Mus musculus: one gene and its partner. The protein of the gene in region 1 purifies or fractionates together with the protein of each later gene. This does not show direct contact. Links are inferred from orthologs where the notes say so. Each region holds a gene or a part of one and is shown in the gene's direction. Other genes may lie near its edges. The genes, in order: Plekho1 and Capzb.

Evidence for each region.
Region 2: the proteins of Plekho1 (region 1) and Capzb purify together in Homo sapiens (co-immunoprecipitation; 3 studies listed by BioGRID and IntAct, counting the BioPlex papers as one, with this or other methods). This does not show direct contact. The link is inferred for Mus musculus from reciprocal best matches to the Homo sapiens genes PLEKHO1 and CAPZB.

The regions. Positions count from the first base shown.
Region 1 is NC_000069.6:95,990,564-95,993,133, reverse strand, and holds part of Plekho1 (pleckstrin homology domain-containing family O member 1), read left to right. Parts: intron 1-855; coding exon 856-996; intron 997-1,585; coding exon 1,586-1,690; intron 1,691-2,218; coding exon of another isoform or gene 2,219-2,231; coding exon 2,232-2,333; intron 2,334-2,570. UniProt on the Homo sapiens protein: Plays a role in the regulation of the actin cytoskeleton through its interactions with actin capping protein (CP).
Region 2 is NC_000070.6:139,191,657-139,195,570, forward strand, and holds the start of Capzb (F-actin-capping protein subunit beta), read left to right. Parts: upstream 1-1,242; 5' UTR 1,243-1,369; coding exon 1,370-1,372; intron 1,373-2,344; exon of another isoform or gene 2,345-2,473; coding exon of another isoform or gene 2,474-2,563; intron 2,564-3,914. UniProt on the Homo sapiens protein: F-actin-capping proteins bind in a Ca(2+)-independent manner to the fast growing ends of actin filaments (barbed end) thereby blocking the exchange of subunits at these ends.

The DNA.
Region 1 (2,570 bases):
CTGCTGATAGTTTCTCTGGGAAAGGCACAGGAGAGGAGGTTGCTGTATCATCCCACATTCCAGACTGTGTTGCTGTGAATCTCTCTGGAGTGATTCTCCAGAGTGTTTAAGGCCCTCTTCCCAGTCAAAAAGCAGGGAGCCCTAGAAAGGGGAGAGCCCTGGGGAGCCAAACCTTGCCAGGCAAATGGCAATAGATGAATTTTCCCCACGTTCCTCCTCAGCACATGTGCTCAGCAATTCAGAAGGATGGGCAGATCGGCCACGGGCTGAGCCTTCTTATACACGTTCGCTTGGTTTCAACTGTTTCCCAGGGAGACATGACCAGCTCATTCCTGGGATATCCCCAACCAGGTGGAAGAGAGGGATAGCCTGCTGTCAGGAAGTAGTCTCCTGTAACATCCTACGATAGAAGAGAGCAGGTGGAAAGAACACTCGGAACCATCGTACTCACTCCCTGAGGCCAGAGGCAGCCCTTTGTCCCTTCCAGATGTTGCCCTTTGTCCCTTCCAGATGTTGGCTGCCTTTCCCCTTCCCCTGGACGTTAGTGGTCACTCTTGTCTTCCTTACTTGGAATGATCAGAGCAGTCCATTCACCATGTCCCTTTAAGGACATGCCCCTTTAAGGACTTGTAAGCTGCGTCCTTCAGAGACAGAGGGTCATGGGCAGAGGGAGGCACGGGGACGGTAGCTTGGGGGGAGTGGGTTAAACAGACCACCATACAGGGACTCAGGTCTCAGTCCCACCCCCCAGTACACACCTTAGGTGGGCTGGCTTCCTGCTGTCCTTCTTGCTCCACTTTCTTCTGGAGGAGAGAAAGAGTAATTTTATCCTCATGACACCCCACCCTCTCATAGGTAAAAGATGAGAAAAACAGTCAGGAGGTGTTTGACCTGAGTGACTATGAGAAGTGCGAAGAGCTCCGGAAATCCAAGAGCAGGAGCAAGAAAAATCACAGCAAGTTCACCCTGGCCCGGTGCAGACAGCCGGGCACCACGGTAGGCTCGCCCTCGCTGTGGCCCTAGCTGCAGGGGCCATAATTATTTTCCCTCTGGCTTTTATTATTTAACTGGAAAATATTCTGACCATTTCCCTTCCTCTGGGCAGGCCAGCCTATAACCTATTTAGCCATAAAGAAGTCTCTCTCTCCCCACCCCTTCCTCTCCCCTCCCCCACTCACACACACACACACACACACACACACACACACACATCCCTACTGTGTGTATGTACATATTCTCTTGGGAGAAACATTATTGGTGCTTCTTCCCTGATGGGTGTCTGAAGTTCAAGGGAAGCCATGGTTGTCACACCCCGTGTCCTCAGACGTTTAAAGATCTAAGTGCATTCACACCTCCCCTAGTTGTCCCCAGTGTCACTTTCTTAGCCCCACCTCCACACCCATCTTTGCTAAAACAACCCGTGCGTTCTGCAGGAACAGACTCTGGGTTCCTTCCGTCACTGATCATCCCAGAAGCAGGGTCTCCCTTCCGGGAGCGGGGTGTGAGGGAGTGAGAGGATTATTTCAGGGGGTGGGTATAATGTATTTGTAATGCCCTAGCTAAGACAAGAACATTCCCCTCACAGGCACCCAACCTCATCTTCCTGGCCGTGAGTCCTGAAGAGAAGGAGTCATGGATCAACGCCCTGAGTTCTGCCATTACCAGAGCTAAAAACCGTATCTTGGATGAGGTCAGGGGCTTGCTGTGGGGCAGCGATGGGGTACTAGGGCGGAAAGCAGGCTGTGGCTCACTAGATGAGGAGGGGTGCTTTGTGGGGTCCCTTTAGTTTCACCCAGATCAGTTTCTTGGCCTTTTTTTTCCCAGTTTTTTTGAGACAGGGTTTCTTTGTGTAGCCCTGGCTGTCCTGGAACTCACTCTGTAGACCAGACTAGCAGATCCAACTGCCTCTGCCTCCCAAGTGTTGGAATTATAGGAGTGTGCCACTAAGTCCTGACTGTTCTCAGCTTCTTTAAAGGCCCTGTTGTGTCATTCCCCCACCCCCACCCCTTTTCTCTCTTAAGCCTTTTCTCTGCTGATTCGAACCCCACACCCACTTCACAACGCTTAATCTAGTCCTGGGTCAGTTGGGTCAGTAAATCCTTGTGCCTATACCCTGCTCAGAAGCAAGTGGTGGAATGGCCTGCTTCCCAGTCCAGGCGAGTTAGGGTTTGCCAAACTCAGTTGGGACAAAGTCCTAAAGAAGCCCTGTGACTCACAGTGCATCTCTTCAGGTCACCGTTGAGGAGGACAGCTATCTTGCCCACCCTACTCGAGACAGAGCAAAAATCCAACACTCCCGCCGTCCTCCAACCCGGGGACACCTCATGGCTGTGGTATGTAAAACTGCAAGAGAGTAAGCACTGCCCAGGGGCCAGTTCTGGGCTGGTCCGTCAGCTGTGTATGAGCAGGAGCACTGTTGGGATCAAAGGCTCGGGAGACCTCTCCACCCTGCGTCCCTGTCTGATGCCTCTAAACCAAAATTACTTAGTCAGCACGTAGCACAAGTCAGACATCTCTGTTCTCAAAAACTTCTGAGGAAATGAGAAATACCCCTAGGACAGTGAAAAGCA
Region 2 (3,914 bases), on another chromosome or scaffold:
TCTTACCCACAAGCCATATGCCATCATGGGCTATTTTGCTCAAAGCTGTAATTTCTCCAGCCTGCTTCCTACACAGTGCTTGGCCAATAGCTACATGATAAATACTTCCGGTGTAATGACCTTCTAAGTGCCACTCCCTTCTCTGAACTCCTGTAATATTGGTCTATGTCATTCTTGAGAGACTTACCTGGACGCTTTCTTTGCTGGTGGCTGTCCCTGCAAGCTTTCACTTGACTATAAGCTCAGAGGCCTAGGGCACAGTTTCCCCTCAGATGTTTTCTGATCTCTTCTCAGGACCTGATATGACTCTAAACGGAGGGTGAGCAAGCCGTGTAGGGGGTTGTTATAAACAAAACGTGCAATTCTAGGGCTCCTGAGTTCTAGATAACAAAACAAAATTCACTCTTTTGAACAGCAAATTTCTGGTTGGGGCTGCAGTTAAGTGGAAGAGCTTAGCCTAGCCTGCCTGAGGCTCTACGTTCAATCTTCAGACCTGAAAACAAAGAGGGATTTCTGAGTCACTATATGATTCGAGAGAGATACTCATTTAGGGAAACGGGCTGATTCTCTGTACATAATGTAAAAAAGTATATGAAACAGCATTTATTGAACCCAAATGTTCTAGTCTTCTTACCCGGGTCTTTCCCACAACTACTCTGGTAGCTATGAAGTGCAGGCAGGGATCCTTATGGCTTATTCACTTGTCATCTTTTGGTACCTAAAAGCTGCCCGCCTGGTCCTGATAGCAGGTGTTCAGCAACAGGGGCGGCAGAGCCGGCTTCCCCATGCAGGTTCCGCTCGCTCTGTAGGGGCCGGGCCTCGTCCGGCGCACCAGTTCCGGGTCCGGGTGGGTTGCGGAGGGCCGGTCCCCTCCTAGTTTCGGCGCCTTCCGCATCCTCCGCCCAGGGGAACCAGTGAACCGCTCCACCCTCAGCTAGCCCGCGTCCTGCAGCTGCGAGAAGCGAGGCTGACAGTCAGAGGAGGGACGCAAGTAGACCCAGTCCCTCCGGAACGCCACAGCCCTGGCCGCGCAGGAGCGTTGCGCCTGGCCCGCCCCTCCTGAGACAGGACACGCCCACTCGACCACAGGGCCTGCCCCCGTCCCCGCCCCCCGCGCGGCGCTCCATACTTGGCGATCGCTGCGGCCCCGCGCTCTCATTGGTCGGGAGCTGGCGGCTGGGGGGCGGGTCGGGCTGGCCGGGGCGGGGAAGGAAGGTGGTGGCTGCCCGGCGCGGGGGGGTGGGGGGGGGAGGGGGGCGCTGACCCGGATGTTCACTCTTGGGCACCCGGGGAAGTGGAAGCGCAGGGCCCTGCTGCGGGGGGGAGAGCCACAGACGCCGGGACAGGGACCGTCGCCGCCGCCGCCACCATGGTAAAGGGACCCCTTCACGGCTCCATCCCGGGACCCCTCTCACCGCCGGAGCTCGCGTCCACTCCTTCGCCGACCCGCCCGGCCCGGGAAGGGTGGGGATCCGGGGTGGGGGAGGGGCGGGGTCCCGGACCCTAGGCAGACGCCACTCTTCGGGTCCGGAGTGGGCGGCGGGAGGCCCTGATAGCCTATGACCCCGCCCTGGGCTCCATGTGGAGCCCAGTTCTTCTCCCTGCAAGTCCAGGCTAGTCTCGCCTATCCCAGGCTAGACCTTCCTTCCTTCAGGGGCCAGGCCGGGCACCCCTCTCGCAGGCCTTCATCCCATGGGCTGTACTTGGGCTCCTGCCTCGGCCCCAGGGCCCAGGCTAGGACCGTGGTTCTCGCTCCAGTGGTCCAGTCTAGGTCCCCTTCCCCCAAACTCTTCTCCTCTCCATGGCCCCAGTCTGCACCCCGATAAGCCCTTTCCAGTGAACTCTGCCTAGGTTTGTTTCCTTCACCGTCATGGAATCTTCTCTCTGCGGTCGGTCCTCAAGTGTGGCCTCTCTACTCCAGCTGTGTTCCCCCCCTCCCTGCACCTCCCTGTCCCCGGCCCTAGCCGTCCCCTTCCCCCGACTTCTCACGACTTAGCCTAGCCTGCGTCAGCCCTTCGCTGCTCTCACCCTCCCATCTAGACCCTGCTTGTTCCGTGTCCTGCTCCTGACCCAGGTGTCCCCTCTCCTGTTCCTAGGAGGCTCTTTCTGGGCAGCCTCTGGCGAGCGGGGGAGAGCCCCAGCCAGGGTGGGGGTGGTCTGGGTACTGAGCCTTTCCTAGGTTTGCCCCTTTCTGGGGAGGCCGCTTCGGTGTGAGTGAGCAGGCGAGCGAGGGAGAGAAGGGCGGCATCTGTATGCCCGGAAGGCAGAACAGGGCATTTCCCTTGGGAGGGCCTAGTGGTAGTGCGGCTAATAGAGCGCGTCTTGAGGGGTGCCCTGCCTGAGTGGGGAGCAGAGTGCTGACGGGTTGGTAAGCCAACTGGACAGGGGTGAACTCACAATTGCTCTTGTGAGGCCGCAGCCCTGGGGCTAGGGGGACACGGAGCTCAGCAGCCCAACCTACGGCCTGGACACGATGCATCCTAGCAGGCGCAGCCTTCCTTTCCCCCTGAACTGTCAGCTTGTTAGAGTTGGGACTGCTGATTATGGAGGTGCCTCGGAGCAGGTGAGCAGAAACTCACAGGCCGGAGAGCTCCCGGACTCCACTCATGGTGTTTGTTTTGGTAATGAAGACAGGCACACTATGCTAGCAACTTATTTGAGGAGCCTTAGATGTGTCACTTCCCTCCTCCCCCATACCCCTGCACCCCCTAATCTACCTGGATACCTGCAGAGCAGGCCCACCATCTTTGGTGGTGGAAGGGCCAGAGAACTACCTCACATGGTCAAGGAAGCCTTGTAAGGTAGGCTGAGAGGGAAGGCAACCCACCTGCTCCGTGTAGCCTTACAGGTGGCTCCCCTCCTGCCTGGTCGATATTTAGGAGGGGATTTTGGACCCTAGATGGTTTTGAGGTACCCTGTGCCTTGTTTTAGCAAGGGTGCAGCAACTGTATTGGGGATGACTAAGTCTGATTGGCTAGTAAACTTTCTATATATTGATTAAAAGCATAGGCAAGACAGGTTTTCATGTTATTGCTCTTGGCTGGAAACGGGCCTGGGGGTCTGAACCCCTGACCTTAGTCTGCAGGGGGAAAGGACTTGTCCAGGACAGTTTTGGGTGAGATTCTTCAAAGTAGACTGAAGTTTTCTGTGTGTACTCCCAGCACCAAAGCAGGAGAGGGTGGTGGAGTGGCCAGATGGGACTTAGTCTCCACAGAATCATCTAGGCTTTCGCTTTGTCCATCTGACAGGTGAAGAAAAGCTGGGGCATTCATTGTAACTCATTCAAAATGTTGTTGCATCTGTGTGGAGAGCACTCTTGGCCAGTGGGAGCCTGCCTAGCAGCCTCCAGACTGCGGTCTTCCTTGTCTGCTGTTGTGTGTCTGATATAATGACACTGTTGAAGAACCATAATGATGGGATGGATGCTCAGGCCCAGCCAGGGAGAGCAAGTGCTTACCTCTGCAGACTCTGGGTGGCTCTCCTGTTAGGAAATGGCCATTTTGAGACAGGAGCATAGCCTATGGGCCTGATCCCCGAGCTCTTAGGGGACAGAGATGTTGGTCTTGTGTTTTCTGCCCCTGTCTATCTGGTCCTAGAACAGTACCTAACTCTGAAAGATCTGTCGTGGAAGGCTGGGCGTGGTGCCACATACCTGCAGTCTCAGCTGTTTAAGGCATTCAAGGCCAGCTTGGGCAACAGTGAGGGTGAGACAGGAGATTGCTTAGTGTGATCTGGGATGGTCTGTGAGCGCAGCCACCCAGGTTTGACACTCGTTAACTTGTTCTTCATGTACCCCAACCTCCTAAATGTTTTCTGACTGCCTACTATGCTAGTATAATCTGATGCCCTAATGTGGGTAGTTTGGGCAAACCAGAAGTGGCAGAGTGGGGCTGCATCCTAGGTAATGAATGAAG